Macaca fascicularis: one gene and its partners. The protein of the gene in region 2 binds, or shares a complex with, the protein of the main gene of each other region. Links are inferred from orthologs where the notes say so. Each region holds a gene or a part of one and is shown on either strand. Other genes may lie near its edges. The genes, in order: CWC15, EFTUD2, CRNKL1, RNF113A, ARMC7, PPIL2 and RBM48.

Evidence for each region.
Region 1: EFTUD2 (region 2) and CWC15 share a complex: the UniProt entries of both Homo sapiens proteins name them as parts of the minor spliceosome. The link is inferred for Macaca fascicularis from reciprocal best matches to the Homo sapiens genes EFTUD2 and CWC15.
Region 3: EFTUD2 (region 2) and CRNKL1 share a complex: the UniProt entries of both Homo sapiens proteins name them as parts of the minor spliceosome. The link is inferred for Macaca fascicularis from reciprocal best matches to the Homo sapiens genes EFTUD2 and CRNKL1.
Region 4: EFTUD2 (region 2) and RNF113A share a complex: the UniProt entries of both Homo sapiens proteins name them as parts of the minor spliceosome. The link is inferred for Macaca fascicularis from reciprocal best matches to the Homo sapiens genes EFTUD2 and RNF113A.
Region 5: EFTUD2 (region 2) and ARMC7 share a complex: the UniProt entries of both Homo sapiens proteins name them as parts of the minor spliceosome. The link is inferred for Macaca fascicularis from reciprocal best matches to the Homo sapiens genes EFTUD2 and ARMC7.
Region 6: EFTUD2 (region 2) and PPIL2 share a complex: the UniProt entries of both Homo sapiens proteins name them as parts of the minor spliceosome. The link is inferred for Macaca fascicularis from reciprocal best matches to the Homo sapiens genes EFTUD2 and PPIL2.
Region 7: EFTUD2 (region 2) and RBM48 share a complex: the UniProt entries of both Homo sapiens proteins name them as parts of the minor spliceosome. The link is inferred for Macaca fascicularis from reciprocal best matches to the Homo sapiens genes EFTUD2 and RBM48.

The regions. Positions count from the first base shown.
Region 1 is NC_088388.1:93,949,601-93,953,100, reverse strand, and holds part of CWC15 (spliceosome-associated protein CWC15 homolog), read left to right. Parts: intron 1-1,010; coding exon 1,011-1,129; intron 1,130-3,500. UniProt on the Homo sapiens protein: Involved in pre-mRNA splicing as component of the spliceosome. Component of the PRP19-CDC5L complex that forms an integral part of the spliceosome and is required for activating pre-mRNA splicing.
Region 2 is NC_088390.1:65,948,244-65,951,743, forward strand, and holds part of EFTUD2 (116 kDa U5 small nuclear ribonucleoprotein component), read right to left. Parts: intron 1,893-3,500; 5' UTR 1,889-1,892; coding exon 1,784-1,888; intron 1-1,783. UniProt on the Homo sapiens protein: Required for pre-mRNA splicing as component of the spliceosome, including pre-catalytic, catalytic and post-catalytic spliceosomal complexes. Component of the U5 snRNP and the U4/U6-U5 tri-snRNP complex, a building block of the spliceosome.
Region 3 is NC_088384.1:67,260,686-67,264,185, reverse strand, and holds part of CRNKL1 (crooked neck-like protein 1), read right to left. Parts: intron 3,107-3,500; coding exon 2,928-3,106; intron 1,269-2,927; coding exon 1,098-1,268; intron 1-1,097. UniProt on the Homo sapiens protein: Involved in pre-mRNA splicing process. As a component of the minor spliceosome, involved in the splicing of U12-type introns in pre-mRNAs.
Region 4 is NC_088395.1:126,232,984-126,236,151, forward strand, and holds RNF113A (E3 ubiquitin-protein ligase RNF113A), read right to left. Parts: upstream 1,699-3,168; 5' UTR 1,593-1,698; coding exon 558-1,592; 3' UTR 501-557; downstream 1-500. Other genes in the region: NDUFA1 (NADH dehydrogenase [ubiquinone] 1 alpha subcomplex subunit 1), read left to right, coding at 1,891-1,992. UniProt on the Homo sapiens protein: Required for pre-mRNA splicing as component of the spliceosome. As a component of the minor spliceosome, involved in the splicing of U12-type introns in pre-mRNAs. E3 ubiquitin-protein ligase that catalyzes the transfer of ubiquitin onto target proteins.
Region 5 is NC_088390.1:81,510,598-81,514,097, reverse strand, and holds part of ARMC7 (armadillo repeat-containing protein 7), read right to left. Parts: intron 818-3,500; coding exon 456-817; 3' UTR 1-455. UniProt on the Homo sapiens protein: As a component of the minor spliceosome, involved in the splicing of U12-type introns in pre-mRNAs.
Region 6 is NC_088384.1:31,448,912-31,452,411, forward strand, and holds part of PPIL2 (RING-type E3 ubiquitin-protein ligase PPIL2), read right to left. Parts: intron 2,854-3,500; coding exon 2,778-2,853; intron 1,568-2,777; coding exon 1,407-1,567; intron 689-1,406; exon of another isoform or gene 600-688; intron 1-599. UniProt on the Homo sapiens protein: Has a ubiquitin-protein ligase activity acting as an E3 ubiquitin protein ligase or as an ubiquitin-ubiquitin ligase promoting elongation of ubiquitin chains on substrates.
Region 7 is NC_088377.1:128,836,628-128,840,873, forward strand, and holds the start of RBM48 (RNA-binding protein 48), read right to left. Parts: upstream 2,801-4,246; 5' UTR 2,783-2,800; coding exon 2,672-2,782; exon of another isoform or gene 2,412-2,671; intron 2,119-2,411; coding exon 1,928-2,118; intron 1-1,927. Other genes in the region: peroxisomal ATPase PEX1, read left to right, coding at 3,162-3,290. UniProt on the Homo sapiens protein: As a component of the minor spliceosome, involved in the splicing of U12-type introns in pre-mRNAs.

The DNA of each region.
Region 1 (3,500 bases), on a different chromosome or scaffold from region 2:
GGATGATTTGACTTTGAAGAAGTTGATGCTAAAATAAAAGTGAAGAAAGACAGTGTTGTAACTGATAAAGGATGGGAGGTATAAAAATAGAAACTGAGGCCGGGCGCGGTGGCTCACGCCTGTAATCTCAGCACTTTGGGAGGCTGAGGTGAATGGATCATGAGGTCAGGAGTTCGAGACCAGCCTGGTCAACATGGTGAAATGACATCTCTACTAAAAATACAAAAATTAGCTGGGCATGGTGGCGCATGCTAGAGGCTGAGGCGGGAGAATCAATTGAACCTGGGAGGTGTAGGTTGCAGTAAGCCGAGATCATGCCACTGCACTCCAGCCTAGGCAACAGAGCGAGACTCCGTCTGAAAAAAAAAAGAAAAAGAAAAGAAACTCAATAATAAGTCAATAAAAACAAAATAGATCAGCCTCAGGTAAATTAGTAGAAATTCATGTTAACTGGATATAATTTTGTACATGGTAGTTTGTCCTATTTTAGGAGTTTTCTTCATTAATAACTTCTCACCAAACCTAGAGACGCAAGTTTACATTATTAGTAATTCAAAATAAGATTAAATTAAATCACAGTTATGTATGACCCTTTAAAATTGAGATAATAGTTTTGCTAAATGTGTCTTTTTGATATTTAATATGTTCTTAAATTATTAGAATATGCTTATTGATATACGCTTAAAATTTAAAGCTATTAATTTTACATGTACTTCAAGAAAGAAAATAGATTTAAATATGAATCTCTAACATTTCACAGTTGGAAGAGACTGATATCAACCATGAAATATTTATAATAAAAATGCCAACTTATTTTATTTTGATGAGGGAGACTTTTCTAGTATGCCTCAAAAACCAAAAAAAAAAAAAAAAAAAAAAAGCCTGCCTTGATGCTTTTCTTGCCGTAAAATCCCAATGATCTGTTTTTTTTTTTTTCAGTGAGCTAATATAAAAAAAATTGAACCCAGAGTTAAAATAAGTAAATACTAATCTTCCTTTATCATTGACAGGAACAAGAACAAAAAGCTGAAGAAGAGAGGATTCGTATGGAAAACATTCTGAGCGGAAACCCTCTCCTTAATCTCACTGGCCCATCGCAGCCTCAGGCCAACTTCAAAGTTAAAAGAAGGTACTATACAGTAACGGAGTAATGAAGTGTGTGTGTGTGTGTGTGTGTCTATATGCACAGGCATGCAGATTATAAGTTGGATAGCAAGGTGCATTATATGAAGCTTCTAAAAGTCCACCGTTCGTTCACGGATACTCTTCTCTGTTCAATTAGGAATAATGGAAGAAGCTAAATGAAAGAAAATTAACTTATTTTCAGTAGATAGTTGCAATAACCAGCTGTGTACCAGATAATGATGTAAGCACTAGGGACAGAGTAATAAACTGAGGCCCTTACATTTTAGGTATGCGTATCAAGGGTCCCCAAGATGGCCTCTCACATTCAGACACTCACTGGAAGAACTCAGGGGACTTGGCATATAGTTACATGCTTGGCTAAGGTAATAAAGACACACAGCTAGATTATAAAGGGAAAAGACACACACGGAGAATGGATGAATCCATGCGCAGGTTTCACTATGCTCTATCCCTTCCATGAGTGGTCACACAGCACATTGTTTCCCCCAGTGCAGCAACGTGTGCAGTGCTGCTGCCCAGGGAAGCCCATTAAAGATCCCATGCCCAGGGTTTTTACTGGGCGTGGCTAGTCATGTACGCAGCTTTTGCTTAGCACATAGCAAAATCCAGACTCTTAAAAGGACAGTAGGTGTTCAGCATAAACCACATTATTTGTAAATTGTAGGCACAGTGACAGTGAGAAGATTTCTTAAATCCAAATTTTCAAATGCCAGCCAGGGGCCAACCTTGGAAGCAGGCATTTCTAAGGATTGTGGTCCCAGGCCTGCTTTTTAAATTCTTTCTGTACAGTGTGTGTGTTTGGAGGGGTAAAAAGGAGGGCTGAAAAGGGAGGAAGTATAAATTGTAAATACTGTAAATCCTTCAGATGGTGATATGTAAAATAAAACAGAAAAGCTTACAGGAAATGTTGAGGAAGGAAGAATGGTTGTTATTTTATATGCATTCATCAAGGAAACACAGTGCTTAACTTTTAAACCATATTCGTTATTTTTCACCACCTCTACTGCTATTATTTGCCATCTAGAGTGATGCAGTACTGCTACCCGCCCTCCCCTCTGGAGTGATGCAGTACTACTGACCGCTTTCCCCTCTGGAGTAATGCAGTACCGCTGATACAGTTCTGGAATTAGTCCAAGCTGGAGATAGTAGATTTGGAAGTTATCAGCTCAGATAAACTTTCTAAAGCCATAACACAGGATGAAATCACCTAGGGAAGGGTATAGCTAGAGAGGAGAAGTCAGAACTGAGCTTAGTATAATGTTTAGAGGTTAGGGAGATGATTAGTTACCAATACCTGTTCTAATCATCTACCCAACCTCTAAACATTATACAGGTGCCTGATAAATATTGATTGAATGAATTTTGAATGAAAAAGTCTAGGCTGACAAGCAGCAGCCAGTTGGGAAGAGAGGAGAACTGAAAGAAGTGAAACCAAGTGTTTCAGGAGGAGAGGAGTGATCATTTAGGACAAATACTAATGTCAGGAAAGAGCATTTTGGTGTTGGGAAGGAGGGACAAAAAGCCTGTTTGGAGTTGAGGAAAGACTGGATACAGAAAAAACTACTGATTATATATAAAAATAAAGCTATATAGTTTGTTTTTTTGCTTTTTTTGAATGCAAATGGAATTGGAGACAGAAACATGTCTTATATCCCAGTCATATTGATCTGCTCAGCTTCTTATGCTTCTCTGTATACTGCATCAGTGATGACTTTACTGCACTATTTTCCAAAGGTGCCCACGTTTGTTGCTCGTTGTGCAGTTTCCCACATTTGTTCCCATGTGCAGTTTCTCCTGGCATGTAAGCGCATACACACATACACACACTCATGATATGGGTTTGTGTTTTATGTATATTTGTGAGGGTATCTATATTATGTATATGGGCAGCTGTTTTATATGCTAGATGATATTCTGAAATCATGCTCTTTATTTTCTATAACACATGTATTTTATAACTTACTTATGGATTTTTTTTTCACACTTATACCTTATGGAATCCAACCAGAGTTCTGCCCTGAGTTCTTCGGCTGGTACTTCTCCGTGGTTAACGTACATGTGCGCCATATCTGAGCCTTAATTATTACACCCCAATGATTGCTTCTCCTTTTGTTGGCCTGTAATGCAAATATTACAGTAGATGATTACTAAACATTAACTGATAAAAGAGGAATATCTACAATCCTCAAAACCACATAATCTAAACTACATTAAATTGATTGGCTACTATCATCTACAAATGCCTATACTAATATTAGGGTAGTCCTAGGTGCAGCCTCTTTGTATTAGACCTAAAAACATTAAATATTTATGCAATTAAAATCTATGTATTTCTATTTTTTAACTCAAAAGTT
Region 2 (3,500 bases):
TGGGATTAGTTTCTAGTAGACAGAAGCATGAACAAATAATTCATAAGAATGGAAGGGAAGGCATCGTATATGAGTACAGGTGTAGGCAGGTGGGTAGAGGGACTGCTGGGTGCTTGTTTTCCTTCACACAAATTACAGCATGCCAACCTCTTCCTTAAGAACACAAAACCCTCCAGTGGTAAGACTGGCTACCTCCTACCATCTTACACTCTACTTCTACTAAAGTGGCCTAAGATTACATTAGCTCTTTTGGCAGCCACATATATCTTACTGGTGGTGGCTCCAAAATAGCTATCAAGCCAGTTTTCTACTGCCCCATACTGCTGAATATATTATGAATCTAACTGCAGGATTTTATATAATCATTTCTGACTGCCTGTAATTACCTCTACCGAGTCTACAGTAGCTCAACAAGTCTAAAATAAAACTAAACCAGTATAAACCAGTATTCTTTTATCATTGTTTTTTAAAATTTTTAATTTTTTTAATTTTTTTGAGATGGAGTTTCACTGCAATCTCTACCTCCTGGGTTCAAGAGATTCTCCTGCCTTAGGCTCCGGAGTAGCTGGGGCTACAGGTGTATGCCACCATGCCCAGCTAATTTTTGTGTGTTTTTTTTTTTTTTTTTTTTTTTGAGACGGAGTCTCGCTCTGTCTCCCAGGCTGGACTGCAGTGGCCGGATCTCAGCTCACTGCAAGCTCCGCCTCCTGGGTTCACGCCATTCTCCTGCCTCAGCCTCCCGAGTAGCTGGGACTACAGGCGCCCGCCACCTCGCTCGGCTGGTTTTTTGTATTTTTTAGTAGAGACGGGGTTTCACCGTGTTAGCCAGGATGGTCTCGATCTCTTGACCTCGTGATCCACCCGTCTCGGCCTCCCAAAGTGCTGGGATTACAGGCTTGAGCCACCGCACCCGGCCAATTTTTGTATTTTTAATAGAGATTGGGTTTCATCATGTTGGCCAGACTGGTCTCAAACTCTTGACCTCAGGTCATCCGCCCACCTCAGCCTCCCAAAGTGCTGGGATTACAGACATGAGCCAATGAGCCCAGTCTTAGAATGGACATCTTTCTTTTCTGTCTCCATTACCAAAATCTATGCATCTCTGTTATATACCTCAATATAATTAAAAAAAAATAAATCTGTCCAGGCGCGGTGGCTCACACCTGTAATCCCAACACTTTGGGAGGCCAAGGCATGTGGATTGCTTGAAGTCAGGAGTTCAAGACCAGCCTGGACAACATAGTGAAACCCCGTCTCTACTAAAAATACAAAAAACATTAGCCAGGCATGGTGGCACACACCTGTAATCCCAGCTACTTAGGAGGCGGAGGCATGAGAATCGCTTGGATCTGGGAGGCAGAGGCTGCAGTGAGCCAAGATGGTGCCACTGTGCTCCTGCCTGGGCAACAGGGTGAGGCTGTCTCAAAAAAAAAAAAAGAGAGAGAGAAAAGAAAAGAGGGGGCTGGGCATGGTGGCTCATGCCTGTAATCCCAGCACTTTGGGAGGCCAAGGCGGGTGGATTCTTGAGCTCAGGAGTTCGAGACCAGCCTGGGCAACATTTTGTCTCTATGAAAAATAAAAAAAATTAGCTGGGCATGGTGATGCATGCCTGTAGTCCCAGTTATTTGGGAGGCCAAGATGGGAGAATCACTTAAGCCCAGGAGGTGGAGGTTGCAGTGAGCTGAGATTGCGCCACTGCACTCAAGCCTGGCAACAGAGTGAGACCTTGTCTTAAATAAAAATAAGTAAGAGCGAGATGAAAAGAGCAATATATTTGCTTTACCTCATCAAGATCTTTGGTCTCTCTACCCAATTCATCGTCATCTTCATCAGAATCAAGCTCTGGTCCAATATAATTCCCAAACTCATCATATAAGTCGGTGTCCATGATGCTAAAATTCAAGGAAAGGAGTTAGATTCTGGCAAAGTAATCATGGCCTCCATGTGGTGGCCCCACCTACCTAGTCTTATAGTTGGCCATACCCCTTTCAGAACATGCCTCCTCCCAGTGACATCAATCTACTGAAGGCTCCTCCCAAAGACCAGTACTTTACCCAAGTCTCTGCCCTACTTGTCTCTATTTATGTAGTCTTCCCTCCACTTTTTTTTTTTTGTTTGTTTCAAGCAGAGTTTAATAGGCAAGAAGGAAAGAAGACAGAAGGAAGAAGCTCCCCACTACAGAGATGGGGCGGGGTGCTCCAAAGCCAAAAGAGGAGGTCCCCTTCCTCCACTTCTTTAATACCAAATTTAATTTTAAAATAACTCAATGTCAAAAAGTGGCAAGAATAGTACAAACAACTTACTTTTTCCTAAATTATTTGAAAGTGAGCTGTTGACACAGTGGCTCATCACCTCCTAATACTTTAGTGTAAGGGTGTGCAAACTCTGGCCTGTGGCCAAATCTGGCCTCTCCAGCTGTTTCTGCATGGCCCTCTAGCTAAGAATGCTTTTCAACATTTTTAAATTGTCAAAAGAAAAATATTTCACAATACATGAAAATTAATTATAAGGAATTCAAATGTCTGTGTCTACTTAAAAAATTTCATTGGGAGGCCTGGCGCAGTGGCTCACACCTGTAATCCCAGCACTTTGGGAGGCCAAGGCGGGCAGATCACCTGAGGTCAGGAGTTCGAGACCAGCCTGGTCAACATGGCAAAACCCTGTCTCTACTAAAAATACAAAAATTAGCTAGGTATGGTGGCATATGCCTGTAATCCCAGCTACTCAGGAGGCTGATGTAGGAGAATCCCTTGAACCCAGGGGGTGGACGTTGCAGTGAGCTGAGGTGGCACCACTGCACTCCAGCCTGGGAGACAAAACGAGACTCCATCTCAAAAAAAAAAAAAAAAAAAAAAAGGTTCACTGGAAAACAGCCATGCATATTCATTTACATCATCTACAGTTGCCTTTACACTGTAATAGCAGAGTTGAGTAGTTGGGACTGAAACCATATGGCTCACAAAGCCTAAAATACTATCCAGTCCTTAACAGAAAAAGTTTGCCAACCTCTCCCTCACCTTGTGTGATTCCTACAAACAGGAACATTCTTCTACATAACCACAACACAACCATCAAAATCAGAAAATTAATATTCACACATTACTACCACCTAATTTACAGATCCCATTCAGGTTTCACAGATTGTTCCAATACGTTTCACAGATTGTTCCAATGATATCTTACACGCCCAAGGATCCAATCCAGGATCATGTTTGCATTTGGTTGTCATGTCTTTGGTCTCTTTGGATTTACAATCTTCAGTCTTTCCTTCCAAGGACTGTCGTGACATCCTTAAGGATGTCCCTTGATTTGAGGTTGTCTGATGTTACCTTATGATAATATTCAGGTTATGTGTTTTAGGCAGGAATATCATAGAAGTGATGCTGTGAGAACATGTGAGAACTGTGGTTCTCAAAGCATTTCCTATCAGGTGATACATGATTTCAATTTGCCTCATTGGTGGTAACGTTAACTTTGATCACTTCATTAAGGTGATGTTT
Region 3 (3,500 bases), on a different chromosome or scaffold from region 2:
AAGGCATCAGGCCGACTTTCTATATTTTAGCACCTTTTCTTCTAAATTTTACATGTTCTCTCATTTTAAAAACACCATCCCTGAGACTGCATAAATAGAAAAGACACAGGAATACAGAGGTTAGATTACTGGCCAGGTGTCCCACAGCAAGCACCCCTTCATCTATAGTCATCACTCTCATGATAGTCAATAATTAGATGCCTATTCTTACCAATGCATTTGCTTAAATATGTGACTATGTATCATTATGTCTGTAACAACAATAGAATTATATCATGCTCACAATTGTTAAACTTGCCTTTCCAATTAACAGTAATTCATCTTTCACATATCTTGCTAACCTACCACCACATTTAATAACAGATTTAGTCCTTTGCTTGGAGGTATCTTAATTAACTTGACTAAGTAAGAGTATTTTTTATTTATTTTTATTTTTATTTTTGAGATGGAGTCTGGCTCTGTCGCCCAGGCTGGAATGCAGTGGCGCAATCTTGGCTCACTGCAAGCTCCGCCTCCCGGGTTCATGCCGTTCTCCTGCCTCAGCCGCCCATGTAGCTGGGACTACAGGCACCCACCACCACACCCGGCTAATTTTTAAGCAAGAGTATTTTTAAATACATAGCAGAATACTGAAGGAAAATGCTATTCTCTTTGAATTGAAATCAAAATAGTACATTACAGAAAAAGAGATGCCAGTGGAACCCTGTCTAGCATACATCTTTTGTTCAGGCAGTTAAGCTCAAAGGTGATGTGCAAAACAGGTTTTTGGACCAATCTCTGACTCTTCCACCTTCTTCCAACAATGAGCTCGAATGGAGTCCACATTTCTTTTGCTCCAGTTCTACACACAGTCAGCAATCAACAAAATAACTTACAACATGTAAGTGGCAGACCAAATCCAAGTGTTGTTTGCTTGCCTTTTCTATCAGCCTTGTTTATTCCTACTTGTCTGAAATAGCTGCCAGTTGATCACAGGCACATCATCAAGAGATTAATCACTGGTAGTGCTAACTTGCTATGATTCATCTTAGTGTTGCTAGTATTGATGAGCACATCTTGGGTTATCTGCAGAGTTGACCATCCACACCAGCGCTCACCTTTACTTCTTCTTCGTACTGGAATCTCCGTTTGCTCACGATGATATCTTCAATACCCCGCCTATCACCAAACTTCTTCTCAAAGATGGTATAATTTTTAAAGAGTTCTTGGGCATCTTGTTTTGAAATTCTGTCCAGGGCATACTTGTAAATCACTCGTACCCTTTCAAACTAAATGCAGACAGGATGATTACCTTCTATAACACAATATTCTCATGACAGTCACAAGTAGGAGAGTAAATGTACCAAAATATTACTTTTAAGTTAGAATTTGAGGCCTCATAATGTCCTGAGTAAGATGCTTTTCTCCATTTTGTTGAAGGTATCTCCGTCAGGATGGACCAGTACCCTGCTTTGAGCTCCACATTTAATACTGTCTACCTAACTAACACTGCCAATTGGATGTCTACTGCACATCTCAAACAGGTCCAAAACTGAGCTTGTTTCTTCCCCACTCAACCTGGGACTCTCCCCATCTTCCCAATCTTAGTAGGCAAGGCCTAACCTACAGTCACATACTTGCTCACGCCAAAGCCTTCAGGTGATCCTCAATTCCTCTTTTTCCCTCATTCTCCATATTCACTCTTGCAACATGCCCTGCCATTTCAATCTCTTCCACACAGCCCTTCGCTCGTCCCCAGCCCCCAGCCATCAAGCTCCACTGTTTACCTGGACCACTTCAAAAGTCTCCTCACTAGTCTCCCCTGGTTCCACTTTTGCCATCCACCCCCATATATTCTCCATGAATTAGCCAGAGGCTCTCTTTAAAATATAAATCATATCCAATCACTGTCCGCTTAAAACCTTTTAATGCTTCCTGCTGGCCCGAACAGAATTTGAACTCCTTAGCATGGTCTGTGCAAGACCTTGTATAGGCTGAGTATCTCTTGTCTGAAATATTTGGTACTGGACATGTTTTGGATTTGGGATGTTTTCCCAGTTTTGGAATATTTGCATTATACTTACTGGTTCAGCATCCCTAATCCAAAAACCCAAAGTCTGAAACATTCCAATGAACATTTCCTTTGAGTGTCATGTCAGCACTCAACAAGTTTCACATTTTGAGTTTCAGATTTTCAGACTGGGAATGCTCAAACCTGTATTTGGATGGATCTCAATTCTGTATTATTTGAACTGCCTTTTTTTTTTTTTTAAAGAAATGGGGTCTTGCTCTGTCACCCAGGCTAGAGTGCAATGGCACGACCATAGCTCACTGTAGTCTCAAACCCCTAGGCTCAGGTGACACTCCTGCCTCAGTTTCCCAAGTAGCTGGGACTGTAGGCGTGCGCCACTATGCCCACTCAATTTTTTTTTTTTTAGAGACAGGGTCTCACTATGTTGCCCAGGCTGGTCTCAAAATCCTGGCCTCCAGCGATCCTCCTACCTCAGCCTCTCAATATTTGAGCTATTTTCATAGGAACAAGGGAAAAAAAGAAATATCTTATTTGTAGGGCAATGTCTATTTCCATTCTAAATTTTGTTTTCTGTTCTGGGGCTTTATGCTTTTTGTTTCCCACATTTATTATCTGTTAAGTCCTTTACTTAGGATGCTAAAAGACTAGCTCTCAGTTTACGGGCATTCAGACTAAAAGACTTAATTTTCAAACAAAGCACAATAAAATTAAGACAGGTATAATACAATCTATAATCAGCTCCCATCTGTAGCTTAGTCACATATATACGCTGCTCTCTGTGAGAAGTTGTGTTTTTTGCATTTTGAAAACATCTCCAGGGATATGTCAGTAAGAAAAAATGGAAATGAACTCACCATGCACAAAATGTAATCTTTGCTAAGCTGTTTCACAGTACAATGAAGTTAAGTATACTTACCTCTTTCTGATTTTCTTCAAACTTGGCAAAGGCGACATACAGGTGCTCATCCATATGTTCATCTCCAAAGAATTCCACAGCTCTCTCATACACCTTCCGTGCGTGGGCAAAATAAGCATGTTTTTCTTCAAAGCGGGCATACTTGATCCAGTTCTTAACATCAGGGTGCACGAGGACAAGTGCAAGGGGATTAAGGAAATACCAGGCAAAACAGCATGGCTTAAAAAAATGGTAAGTAAACACCAAAACCATACCAAAGCCTGAAACCCCAACAATTCAAACTACAATTTTAGGGGAATAAAACACACAAAAGCGTAGAACTAAACAGTGGCTTCCGTGAGAGCAGGGCCACGCTTATTCATCTCTATTTTCCTCCAGTGCTTAGTTAAGATTTTAGTGGTGGGTACAAACTTGAGTTTGGAAGCAAAGAAAAATCTCAACCCAGGTTACCAACCATGTGATCTCGGATAAGTCACCAAACTTGTCAAAAGTCTCAGCTATTTCATTTGTAAACAGGGAAATATAATGCCAGCCTCACTGGATTACTGCCAGCTTTAAATGAGAAAATGTATG
Region 4 (3,168 bases), on a different chromosome or scaffold from region 2:
GAGCTGAGATCGCGCCATTGCACTCCAGCCTGGACAACAGAGCGAGACTCCGTCTCATAAATAAATAAATAAATAAATAACCCAGACAGCAAGGAACATTTCCCATATGTGAAGCCTGTGGTACTAGCTACCAATTCCCCAAACGCAACCCCTCTCCCCAACACCTTGGCTCCGGTATATTTTGTAGTACAGGCTCCCAAGAGAAAGAATGCATGAAAGTACTTTGTAAACTATTAAGTGATACAGAAATGTGATATGATAAACAGGCTCAGAGTTCTTACTTTCGTCATAGCTTTGGCTACTTCAAGCAAATTATAGCTCTTTTCTCAAACTACTCCCACCCCTATAATTGATGCCAAAGTGTTCTGAAAAGAAACACAGGCAAAATGGTTATCCTAGGGCTAAAAATCCTGATTATACCTACCTTGAGGTTTTTAATCCAGGACCCTACTTCACCACCCGCCTTCTCTGTCACTGTCTCTACAAAGGAAGGACACGAATTAAGACTTCCAAAAGAACAAAATATTTATTATTTAAATTTAAGAATTATCAGACAGCTAAGTAACGGGAATTGGATCCTCATCGGGGTCTTCTGGCAAGTCGGAAGCACCACCACCCTCTCCTGTAGCTCGATGCTTCTCTAGTTTAGCAATCAATTCTTTCGCTGGATTGAAGACGCCATTGGTCTGCTGGTCACAGACATAACAGCGCGGGGTGGTGCGGAAATGCTGCAGTGCACAGCTCTCGCAGAAATAATGCCTGCACTTGGTGACAACTGGGTTTTGGAAGCTCTGGCGACAGATGAAACACTTGAATGGTATTTCCTCATCATCGCTTCCCACTTCATAGTTTTCATCCTCATAGACACCATAGCGACCCTCATCAAGCTCACGTTCGATCTGCCACCCATGCTTGTAATCTGAACGGTCATGGAGGAATTTGCAGCTGTCTCCGAAGCCGCAGAAGCCAGTCTCTTTGTAGTCCTTACAGATGTCGGGCTGGTAATCCCAGCGCACGGTGGCACGTAGATGCTCGGGCGCTCGGATGGGGCCCTTCCTCACCATCCCGGAAGAGGCATTGCCCATAGACGTATCCTTGGGCTTCATGTATTTCTGATAATTGTTGATTCCCCGATAGATCTTGTCATCCTCCTTGCCCCTCAGCTCCTCCTGGATCTTCTGGCTGCGCTCAAAGATGGCTTGTGCATCGCGCTCTTTCTCTGTGTCCAGCTCATAGACAGCTGTCGCCCCCATATCCTCTGGTCCCACGGGTTTCGCCGAGCGGGTGGATTTATAAACCACGCCGAGACTCTCGGGCTCATTTTCCTCCTCCTCCTCGCTGCTCAAGTCGCCGTAAGCTGCCTTCTGTTTACCACTGTCACGAGTCTTCTGTATCATTGGATTGTGAGTCGCCCGCTTCTTTTCCGGTCGAACCACAGTGCAGCCTTCGTCGCTACTGCTGCCGCTGTCTCCGGGCTCTGGGTCGCAGGCCGGGCGCTTTCTGCGTCCAGCAGCCCCTTTCCGCCCAGGCTTTTTGAAAAGGAAGGTGCACACCTGATCCGCCGTCTTCCCTGGAGAAAACTGCTCTGCCATTTTAGAGTCCCGAGCTCCGAAACGGCCGTCGCTGCCTGGGTTGCACTTGGCCTCTGCGCGTTACTCCACGTCGCGCGCTCCGCCGGGAGTCGAAGCAAAAGACACTGACGGAAGAGAACTGCGAGAGCGCGAGCGCCAGCCTCTCTTGAGCCCTGGCAGATCCCGTCGCTTCCTCCGGAGCCGTACGTGGCACCGCCCCGCTCGCGGGCGGCCGCGGGGCTTACTGGGAAGGGAGCCGAAGCCCGGTCACCTTTCAAGGACCCAGAAGTAGGGTTTTGGCCTAGATAACGGGGCAGAGATGTGGTTCGAGATTCTCCCCGGACTCGCCGCCATGGGCGTGTGCTTGCTTATTCCAGGACTGGCTACTGCGTACATCCAGAGGTTCACTAACGGGGGCAAGGTAAGGCGGCTTCCTGGGCCCGGGGGCTGACTCCACTGGCTGATTTCTGAAAAGGATGGTGGGCAGAGAGGCCGTCAGCCTGCGGACCCTCTCTCCGAGGCCGGCCCTCTACTTTCTTCCGGTTGCCTAGAAGCCGAGGCTTGCGAAACGAAGCGCGGTAGAAACCACATCCTGCTCTGGTGAAAAACAGCGTTTCTGGGTGTATCAAAGTGGGCCTTAGGGCAGAGTAGCGACGCGGGGGCCGGAAAGGTAGATTAGAAGAGGTGGCTCAAGCCTGAGAATCCCTCACTGCAACCTCCGCCTTCCGGGTTCAAGAGATTCTCCTGGCTGAGCGCGGTGGCTCACGCCTGTAATCCCAGCACTTTGGGAGACCGAGGCGGGCGGATCACCTGAGGTCGGGAGTTCGATACCAGCCTGACCAACATGGGGAAACCCCATCTCTACTAAAAATACAAAATTAGTGGGGCGTGGTGGCGCATGCCTGTAATCCCAGCTACTCGGGAGGCTGAGGCAGGAGAATCGCTTGAACCCAGGAGGCGGAGGTTGCAGTGAGCCGAGATCGCGACACTGCACTCCAGCCTGGGCAACAAGGGCGAAACTCCGTCTCAAAAAAAAAAAAAAAAATTTTTCCTGCCTCACCCTCCTGAGTAGCCGGGACCACGCCCGGCTATTTATTTATTTATTTTGGTAGAGACGGGGGTTTCATCATGTTGGCGAGGCTGGTCTCGAACTTCTGACCTCAGGTGATCCACCCGCCTTGACCTCCCAAAGTGCTGGGATTACAGGCGTGAGCCGCCGCTCCCGGCCACCCTTGACTTTTTTATTCCCCACTTTCTCTTGCAAGCGTTTAGGAATTTACTGCAAGGTCTTGTGTTTTACATCAGGATTCATTTTCCCCTCTTAGCCCTTCACATCATCTCTAGAGTACAGAGTATAAATTTACTTACTTTTTGAATTTGTGATTGTCCACGTGTGATCTACAGCTGTTGTTTCTTAGTGTCCCAAAAGGCAACAACTAGATATTTCTTTTTTTTTTCTTTTTTTTAAAAAGGAAAAAAAATTCATGTTGGTTAAAATAGTGTAAGAAGTCACGGTCACCAACTTAATCCTAAAGTGTAGTGGTCTGATTTTATTTAGGAGATTCTGTTCTTGTACTACTAATTTGCATTTTTATTT
Region 5 (3,500 bases), about 16 Mb from region 2:
CATCTTTTACCTTGAGGCATCTCATTCCTATCCCTGAAAACTACTCCAGACACTTCTGTTAAGGGATAATCCCTGATTTCCCGCAGCAAAGGCAGCTCTCCTAAGCCTCAGTCCCAGCTCTTGAGAACACTGTACTGTGAAGCCTCTGGGTCCAGGCACTTGGCCACTTCTTACACCAGGGCCTGAGCCTGGCAGTGGTGGCACCAGACGTAGGGTAGAGAGTGCCGGCCTATGAAAGCAGCTCCAGTTTGATCTCCGCGTGCCTCGGAGTCTGGCTTCCTCACTCCTGACGGCGTTTCATCACAGTGTAAATGCCTGTCCTGCTGAAAGAACCCGCCTTTCAAATGGCTGAAAAGGCACCAGTGGGGCAGCATATGCTCCCCCTGTTCCCTGCGTCCACATCAGGACCGTGGTCTCCAACAGTAGGGGTGCTACAGTCTCGGGGTCCCCGTGGATCAGCGCTGCCGTGGGGCCATGCTCCTCGGCAGTGGGATACCCAGGGCAGAGTGCGCCTGCCGGCTGCGGGCCTCGGCCACCTGGCGTGGGGAGCAGAAGTCCTCCAGGAAGATCTGCGCCAGGTTCCGGAGCCTGGCACTGGCCGAGAGGGAGAAGCGAAGCATGCACTGCACCACGGGCGCGGCGGTCAGCTCCGGGGGAAAGCTGCGGCCCGGCGGGCTCAGGTGCATGAGCGTGGTAATGGCAGATAGCACCGTCTCCTCGTTGGGGCTGGACAGGCAGTTGATGATGAGTGGGACACCTCCTGCCTGCAGGATGTGCTCCTTGTTGGCCCGGTCTGGGCACAGGTTGCACAGGCCTCCTGTGGGAGACCAAGGAACAATCTGGATGCTGTAGCCCCGGGCCTCCTGCCAGCTCCCCAGCTCATGAACCCCAGGGAGGGCCCAGGCTGAGAAGCTGGTCCCAGCACAAGTGATCCAAAGCCCATTCCGGCTCCTGCCTTCTCGGTTCTAGAAAGGCCTGCCTGCTCCCGCCTGCCACAGCCCAGCCTTCCAGAGGTGCGCACAAATCCCTTTCCCTCTTGGTTCAGCCAGTTCAATGGCTGATACGCTTTCTTTTTTCCCTTTAATGTAAAAACCTAAAACAAGGCCGGCCCAGGCACAGTGGCTCATGCCTGTAATCCCAGCACTTTGGGAGGCTGAGGTGGGTGGATCACCTGAGGTCAGGAGTTCGAGACCAGCCTGGCCAACATGGTGAAACTCTGTCTCCACTAAAAATACAAAAATCAGTCGGGCGTGGCAGGTGCCTGTAATCCCAGCTACTTGTGAGGCTGAGGCAGGAGAATCGCTTGAATCTGGGAGGCGGAGGGTGCAGTAAGCCGAGATTGCACCATTGCACTCCGGCCTGGGCAACAGAGTGAGACCCTATCTGAAAAAAATAAACTAAAAACCTATAATGTATCATCACCTTAGAACAATTTATAAAAATTATAAACATATAAGATGATGGTTTCATGGGTATACACTTACACCAAAATTTATCAAATTGTACCCTTTAAATATGTACAGTTTATTATGTCCATAATATAGCAATAAAACTGGTAAAAATACTAGAATGGGCTGGGCACAGTGGCTCACACCTGTAATTCCAGTGCTTTAGGAGGCCAAGGCAGGAGGATCCCTTGAGCCCAGGAATTCAAGACCAGCCTGGGCGACATGGCAAAACTCTGGCTCTACAAAAACACACAAAATTAGCCAGGCGTGGCGGTACATGCCTGTAGCCCCAGCTACTTGAGTGGCTGAGGTAGGAGGACTGTCTGAACCCAGGAGGTGGAGCTACAGTAAGCCATGATCGCACCACTGCACTCCAACCTGGGCGACAGAGTGAGACTCTGTCTCAAAAACAAACAAATGGCTCAAAAACAAACAAACAAATTATAGGCTCACGCCTATAATCCCAGCACTTTTGGGAGGCCGAGGTGGATGGATCACCCTGAGGTCAGGAGTTCCAGACCAGCCTGGCCAACATGGTAAAACCCCATCTCTACTAAAAATGCAAAAATTAGCTGGGACTGGTGGCATATGTTTATAATCCCAGCTACTTGGGAAGCTGAGGCAGAATAGCTTAACCCGGTAGGTGGAGGTTGCTGAGATGGCACCACTGCATTCCAGCCTGGGCGACAGAGCAATAGTACGGTCTCAAGTGTCAGGCGGCTGACTGAACATTGGTTTTTCATCCCACAATTTGAAATATGTGAATACATGTAAGTATTTAGTAAAAATGGGATACTCTGCTTGCTGCTTGATCAGTTTTCTGAGATGGGGTCGGGTCTCCCTATGTTGTCCAGTCTGGTCTTGAACTTCTGGCTTCAAGTCATACTTCTGCCTCAGTCTCCCTGGGAGTTAAGACTACAGGCATGCACCACTGTGCATGGTTTACGCCAGCTTTTATATTATTTATTTATTTTATTTTTTTGAGACAGAGTTTTGCTCTGTCACGCAGGCTGGAGTGCAGTGGCGTGATCTCAGCTCACTGCAACCTCCACCTCCTGGGTTCAAGTGATTCTCCTGCCTCAGCCTCCCAAGTAGCTGGGATAACAGGCATGTGCCACCACGCCCGGCTAAATTTTTGTAGTTTTAGTAGAGACGGGGTTTCACCATGTTGGCCAGGCTGGTCTCGAACTCCTGACCTCAGGCGATTCACCCGCCTCGGCCTCCCAAAGTGCTGGGACTATACGCATGAGCCACTGTGCCCGCCCCAGATTTTTACATTTAACAATATATTGTGATTAGCGGGGCATGGTGGAGCCCACCTATAGTCCTAGCTACTAGGGAGGCTGAGGCAGGAGAATCGCTTGAACCCAGGAGGCTGAGGTTGCAGTGAGCCGAGATTGTGCCATTGCACTCCAGCCTGGGCAAACGAGTGAAACTCCATCTCAAAAACAAAACAAAACAAAAAAACCCCAAAAACAATGTATTGTGAACATCTTTCCATGCCAATAAATGCACATTCATGGCTATGCAATCATTGTAGATTAATGGTAAGGAGTGTACCATTTGACTTATGTACTGTAATTAAGAGATTAGAGCATTTTAAAGTTATTTCCATGTCACCGTTACTAGGATTCTGGAGGAAAACAGAAAAGGCAACAGTGAGACATCAGTGGTTGGTTCTGCATCAAAGAACTCATGTGCTCAGGTAATGTGGCCGGAATCCCACCCCCATTCCCTCAGGTCAGGCCCCCTCAGTGTAATGACCTCTTGGCCTTGGGGACAGATGCTACCTTGTTTTGGAGGTCACTCTGCTCAGCACAGCTGCTCACTGCGGGAAGATAACTTTCCATGCATCCTAACGCAGCTTCCTGTCATCACGGTACCCCTCCCTTTGGTTCCTGCTCAGTGGAGGAAGCCACCTCTCAGCTCATTTGCAAAACATGCCCAGTGTCCTGAGTGATCAATCAGGAGTGAAGGCCACAGCTTCACCCACTTGCCCTGTTTTTCTGGAAACTAACAAAGAGAAGATTTACCTGAACCTGAAACCCAACT
Region 6 (3,500 bases), on a different chromosome or scaffold from region 2:
GAAGCCAAGGCCAGGCCGAGCCAGGGGCCCCTGGCCTCAACTGGGTCCCGACTCTTACAATATCAGCTGAAACCCTGGAGATAAAATACCACACAGGACTGGCCACCTCAGGGTTAGGAGTATATGGCTGACTTCCCATTTATTTTTATTTTTATTTCTTTTATCAGACAAGGTCTTGATCTATACCCAGGCTGGAGCGTAGTGGTGCAATCCTGGTGCACTGTAGCCTCCAACTCCTGGGCTCAAGTGACCCCCCGACCTCAGCCTCCTGAGCAGCTGGGACAACAGGCGCCTGCCACCACACCTGGCTGATATTTTGTAGAGATAAGGTCTCACTATGTTGTCCAACCTAGTCTTGAACTCCTGGCCTCAAGCAATCCTCCTGCCTCAGCCTCCCAAAATGCTGGGATTACAGGTGTGAGCCACCACGCCTGGCCTCATTTCTTTTTTTTAAAGTTTCAAATTTTCTACACTAAACACATTACATATTTAATCAGGGGTCGGGGGAAAGCCCCAATAAATGTTATTTTTTATCATAGAGGAAGAAAAGGGGTTTCTCCCATCAGAAGAAAATACAAGCCAGGCACAGTGGCTCACACCTGTTAATCCAGCACTTTCGGAGGCCACGGCAGGAGGATCTCACTTGAAGCCAGGAATTCAAGACCAGCTTAGACAACACAGCAAGATCCTGTCTCAAAAAAAAAAAATATATACCAAAGTGCTAAGGGCAGCGTGTCAGCGTGTCAGAGGGGTGACCATGGACAACAAACTTGCTTTTTAAATTTTTCCAGAATTTGAATAATTCCTTAAGGAGAACTTCAGCGATACCTGCCCATGTCTCTGCACTCCCCCTAGCTCCAGATCCCCACACTCTGCCTGAACAGGAGGAAGAAGCAAACACAGCAGCCCCAGACAGGCAGCTCTGTGCGGTCCCAGGCACGCCATCCACCTCAGCACCGCAGCAGACTCTGAAACGCCCCAACTCTCCCTGGCATGGCTTTGCGCCCCAGTGCACATTGGGCCCTGCCCTCCCAGCCACCACAGAACCACACGTGCCCACTCCACGTGCCTGCCCTGGCCACTGAGCTCAGGCTGGGACCACAGCATAAGGCAGACCTTCTGCGGAGGGGTCTCCTCCCCTGCGTGCCCCCACACACCCCTTGGTTCTTCAACGACCAGTGTGGACGTCAGCCCCTCCCCTTCCGCCTTCTCAGATTCTGTCTACCTCAGGGCAGCCCCAGGGCTGTGTGCTCAGAGCAATCAGGGGCACCACAGCTCTGGAGGATCCTGGCTGCCTCCCTGCCGTGGAACCCCAGACCCCCATGAACCCCTTTCCCAGGACCACTCCAAGAGGCCATGAGATAGGCAGGGAGACGGGGCTCGGCCGAGTGCCCTCCACCACTCACAGCGTTCAGCTTGTCCACTTTCTTCTTCTCTGGGGCCTTCATGGTGGCTGCCAGAACCTCATCCCCTTTGAACTCCTTGTAGAGCTCCTGCAGGGTCTCTCGGGTCTCGGCATTTGTATTTTTCAGATAGTAAGACGGGTCCTGTTTGGCCTTCTCTTCATCTACAAAACATTAGCATGGCCCTGAGCAGCCGAGCCCCCAGTATCCTCGTGCTGGGGAAACAGATCTAGAATAGGCCAGGGCTGTCCAGCCATGGCATGGGCCCCGTGCCACTGCCAGCCACAGAATGCCACAGTGCCCAGCTACAGGCCTGAAGGTCTCCCCAGGCAGTTCACAAGGGTCTCAGGATGGACTTCATGTTGTAGTTTCCTGCATATTCTAATCTTTTTACTGTATACACTTTGCTTTTTTTTTTTTTTTTTTTTTTTTGAGACAGGGTCTAGCTCTGTCACCCCAGCTGGAAAGCAGTGCAAGATCTCAGCTCACTGTAGCCTCCACCTCCTGGGCTCAATCGATTCTCCTGCCTAAACCCCCCGAGTAGCTGGGGCTACAGGCGCGCGCCAATCACACCCAGCTAATTTTTCTATTTTTTGTGGAGACAGGGTGTCCCCATGTTGCCCAGGCTGGTCTTGAACTCTTCAGCTCAAGCAATCCACCTGCCTTAGCCTCCCAAAGTGCTGGGATTACAGGTGTAAGCCACTGCGCCCAGCCCCTTTGCTTCCGTAATTTTAAAGGTTTTTACTTGATAGAAGTGTGTGGGAGTCTTTTCGGATGTGAAATCCCCCATTCTTGCCAACTCAGGAGGGCGCCTGCTGCCTACTGGTCCTTGGACAGCAGTCCACTCTGTGGAGAGGGACGGGCATCCCCGTGCAGAGAGCACAGACACGGCCCAGCCCCAACCCTGGCCTCAGGCTCTCCTGACTCAAATCTCCCCTAGTCATGTGCTCAGCCTCCCTAAAACCCAGTTTATACAATGCTCACGAAGTGCCCAGGCCACTGCTCTGCAGCACAAGGCTGAGTGGCCTCTGAGCATGAGTCCTGCTGGCTCCTCCAAGGCTGCAGGACAGCCACCAGCGGCCAGGAAAACAGGAGGACCCCGTCACCCCACCACCTGCCCACTGACAGCACCGGCCAGTCTGCAGGGAGCAGGGGAACCTGAGCAGGTGTCCTGGCAGGGCGGCAAGTCCATCCCGCCCGTTGTTTCTGAGGCTGCAGCTGGCTCGGATTCTCTGAACACTGGTTCAGAAAATGCAGGGCCTGTCTAGGCTGGGACCCTCTGACCTCCAGGAAAGGGAGGATTTTACCCAGGGAGCACTGTCCCAATTTCACCCAAATGCCCCCTCGCCTAGCCCAGCCCCTAGTTGTACATACCTGGGTCTATTATCTTCACGTTATTCTTCACATGATAGAAGTTAGAAACATTGAACTTGTCCAAATTGGTGGGGTCCTGTGGCAAAAAGAGAATGCCCAGCAGAGTGAACCCAGCCTGCGGCCAAATGGCAGCCACATGCAGCAAAGGTCGGCCAGCTGTCAGAGGTGGGAAAGAGGCCAGGCCTACACTGAGGTGGGGGGAGTCAAGCAGGGCATGGCAGAGGAGGTGGTCTGCCCCAGGCAGGGCAGCAAGCAGGGGCAGGGACAGGGACACGGCCTCGCTAGCTGCTGGCCGAGCTGCGACCTTCCTCCAGGCACATGGTTAACGAGCATTCATCGCTGTTAGGGAGCTCTCGGACAGGAACGTGGGCAGCCACGGGCCAACCTCTGGTTAGAATGGGACAAGCCACAGAGGTGACTGACTCAGCAGGCCACGCTCCAGCCAGCACCTGCTTTTCTAAGTCAGTGTTTTTCGTTAATTCACTTGGAGTTCTCTGACACCTGCAGGGAGCCCTGTGCCAGACCCTGAGGCCCAGAGCTCACACCAGCTCCTGCCGTCGAGGCGCTGAAGCAGAGCCAGGCCTGCAGAGTGGCCATTCAGATGCCTTAGGAGGCTCTGAGGACAGATATGAGGGACCCTGACATGGGGGTGGGGGATCGGGGAGGAGATGTAAGAGCTAGACTGAGGCGGCGGCCCCGTAGAGGCCTGGGCTGGCTGCAGGG
Region 7 (4,246 bases), on a different chromosome or scaffold from region 2:
TACATATAACAGCAGCCTGAGAAAACCACACATGACCCAGTAAAATCAAGTGCTTTTGTGGTAGATTATGATTTCTACTGATAGCACATGAAAGAAAATATGAATTGTAACAGCCAGAGAAGGATGGGTCTCAGAGCAGATTAGTGAGGAGAACAGAGATCAACATAAAAATAGATAAGGCATTGCATACTTCAGCCTTTTTGGAGCAGAGGGTTTATGTCACATAGAAGGCCGGAAAACACTGAGTCAATTTGCAGAAAGGAGTAACAGTAGAAACCACAATAGCTAATGCTTACTGTATTCTGACCAGGAGGCACTCTGCTAAACCCTTTATATGGATTATCTCATTTCATCCTCATACAACCTCAAGAAGTAGATAGGTCCCTTTACCATATAGATTTTACGGAACAGGAAAAACTTAAACAGGTTAAATAACTTGTCCAAGATCACAAAGCTAGTAAGCAGTGGAAATGGAAAACTTACTCCAAACCCAACATTTTTTTTTCTTTTGAGACATAGTCTCACTCCATCACCCAGGATGGAGTGCAGTGGTCCATAAATGACTCACTGCAACCTCCACCTCCTGGGCTCAACTGATTCTCCCACCTCAGCCTCCCAAGTAGCTGGGACTACAGGAATGCACTACCACGCCCACCTTGATTTTTGTATTTTTAGCAGAGGTGAGGTTTTGCCATGTTGGCCAGTCGGGTCTCGAACTCCTGGGCTCAAGCTGTCTGCCCACCTTGGCCTTCCATAGTGCTGGGATCGAATTCAACTTTTTTTTCTTTTCTTTTCTTTTTTTCTGGGACAGTCTCACTCTTTCCAGGCTGGAGTGCAATGGCATGATCTTGGCTCACTGCAACCTCTACTTTCTGGGTTCAAGTGATCCTTGTGCCTCAGCCTCCCCAGGAGCTGGGATTAAAGGCTTGCACCAACACAGCTAATTTTTGTATTTAGTAGAGTCAGGGTTTCACCATGTTGGCCAGACTGGTCTTGAACTCCTGACCTCAGGTGATCCGCCTACCTCCACCTCCCAAACTGCTGGGATTACAGGTGTGAGCCACATGCCTGGCGCCAAACCCAAATTTTTTTTTTTTTTTTTTTTTTTTGAGACGGAGCCTCGCTCTGTCATCCAGGCTGGAGTGCAGTGGTGTGATTTCTGCTCACTGCAATCTCCACCTCCCGGGTTCAAGCGATTCCCATGCCTCAGCCACCTGAGTAGCTGGGACTATGGGTCTGCACCACCACACCCGGCTAATTTTTGTATTTTTAGTAGAGCCGGGGTTTCCATCATGTTGGCCAGGCTGGTCTTGAACCCCTGACCTCAAGTGATCTGCCTGCCTCGGTCTCCCAAAGTACTCTGATTACAGGCGTGAGGCGTGAGTTATTGGCGCCCAGCCCTCAAACCCATTTTTTTTTTCTTTGAGGCGGAGATCCCCTCTTGTTGCCCTGGCTGGAGTGCAATGGCGCAATCTCGGCTCACTGCAACCTCTGCCTCCTGGGTTCAAGCAATTCTCCTGCCTCAGCCTCCTGAGTAGCTGGGATTACAGGTATGCACCACTAGACCCGGCTAATTTTGTATTTTTAGTAGAGACGGGGTTTCACCATGTTGGCCAGGCTGGTCTCAAACTCCTCACCTCGTGATCCGCCTGCCTCGGCCTCCCAGAGTGCTGTGATTGCAGGCGTAAGCCACCGTGCCTGGCCAAACCCAACTTTTACTCTACCACGCTACAGGACATTACATTGTTAAGCATGGGATGTGATGGATACAGTGTTTCAGTAAAGTTAACCTGTAAAAAGGCTGTAGGAAGATATGCTAGATTACATTTTGGGGTAATTCAGATATGAATGAGGGAAACTTGGGGCCAAAATGACAGAAATATGAATGGAGGAAATGAAACGAGTCATTGCTTAACTTGCACCTTACCTTGCACTTTGTAAGTTCATAAATTTAATAAGATAAACTTCAGTAAAGTCTTCTGCTGGGTATTCATCTAGCGCATTGTACTGTTCAATTGCACCATATAAAGCGAATCGCTCAACTAATTCCTTCATGACTCCCACAGCAGGAACTCCTTGTATTAATAAGTACTGAGATTCCAAATTGATTGTATATACCTGAAAGAAATGCATAGTTATTAAACGTATTTCGCAAATAAGCCTAGGACGAATCTGCCTCTATTTTTTTTTTTAAACAGAACTTTGAAAACAAGAAATAATCTGTTCAACCCAGTCAGCAAAAAACACAAAATAAAATTTCTGCCATTCCCTCTGCATAAAGAGTAACAGTCCATGTGAGAGGCTACCTAAGGCATATAACAGACTACCTTCAGTCGACATTTTTTTCCAGAAATTGAGTCGGCAGAAGTCACTGGGAACAATCACTCAACGAATATTCACTGAGCGCTTACCTGTGCCAAGTAGTACTGTAAACACTGAAGATCCAATGACTAAAACCAAGCCCTATTCTCGTGGAGTTGATGTTCTAATAGTTGACCAAAAGGGTCGTGAGAATCTTTGGTACCTGGCCCAGGGTTCTTCACGCCAGCTCTAATGAGCGACAGATCTGACGGAAGCCTTGTCGTGCCTTTATTTCCGTAGGTTAGCCATATGGCGCTAGCGCTCACAAAAAGCTACCGAGGAGAGCGAATGAAACCAAAAATCACTTTACCTTGACAGCACGAGGCCGTCGTCCCTCCCGATATTTGGCCCGCGTGTCGCACACCGCCCTCTGGACGTGGTGGTCAAATAAACTCCCTAACTCCCCACCGCTGGACGCCATCTTGCCTACTTTGATCCTTGCAGGGAGGACAACATCCGCCCTGCTGACCTCCCTTTTATCCAATAAGAGAGCGGGATGAGTTAAGGAGTGTCAGCATTGGCTGAAGAATCGACAGCGTCGGCCATCGTTTCCTGCGTGCGAGGATTTGATGAACGAGGTGCCGCCCCCGAGCGGCTTGGCGGAGAGGCGCGGTGGGTGACAGAAGCTTTCTTGTCCCACCCCACTACAGGCTTACGGCGAGACGCGCAGCGGGGAGAGGGGGCGGGGCCTCAGGGGGCGGGGCCGATCGATCTCCTCCGGTTCCGACGTCCTCGGCCTGCCAGGTCCCGTGTCCTTTGCGGCGCTAGGGTGGGCAAACCCAGAGCGACGCTTCGGGACGATGTGGGGCAGCGATCGCCTGGCGGGTGCTGGGGGAGGCGGGGCGGCAGTGACTGTGGCCTTCACCAACGCTCGCGACTGCTTCCTCCACCTGCCACGGGGTCTCGTGGCCCAGCTGCACCTGCTGCAGGTAACGTGCTGGCCCCGGGCCACCTGATCTTCAGCCTGGGGTCGGACAAGGCCGAAGCCTCTCAGGGACGCGGCGGGACACCGGCTGCCACCCGGGCGCCCCCGAAGCGTACAGAGATTAGGGTCCCTCGACGGCAGGGCCCTTCTGGTTAGTCTCTGCATCCCGCAAGTCCAGTGCAGCCCTGGGCTCGTCTTATCACAGGTCTTTTCACTTGGTGAAACTGGGCCTAGAAATGTCCTAATATTCTACCACTGTTTTTATAAATATTCCTCATTCCAGGCTGGAAAAGTTCCTGATAAGTGGTTTGTTTTTGTTATTTTAAAAGGTGCTTTTCTTGCCAGTCATTTCCAGTTACCTGCGCTGCTGCCGTCCGGGCCGCGAGAGGGAGGCGCAGAGTTGTTGGTGGAGCCCCTGTCGGTCCCCGGGGACTGAGCACCGCGTCCCATGAGCGGGAAAGCTTAATATAGTAATGGTTCTGTCCTGCGTCCCAGACCCTCGGAACACAGCTGTAGTGTGTCAGGAACACATAACGTAGTTAAGATCACTTGAAGCTCTGCGATCAGTCGCCCTTCTGGACGTTGTGGTTGGGATGTTTCGCAGTTCTAACCACCGGTGGAGATACAGCGTCCTTATTTTCGTAATTAAAAATAGAGGCACATGGTCTCACGAGTTTGAGTGTGGTTATGGGGGCAAAAGGACGGCGTATTTGAAATCTTCATAAATCCTGGATGCATGGTACCCACCAGTGGCTAATCTATGTAATGAATAAAGAGTTTGCAATAATTTCAAGCATCCCTTCTTTCCACTTGAGTTACTTCTCCATACCTAGGGGAAGATTTTTTTGGTCCATTGAAAACATGAGTTCAGCAGAATCCTCCTATCATCGTCGTTATTATTTTTTACTACTAAGTAGACAATCTTGGTTTTTGATGGGCTTTATGGTTAGAGACAAATCA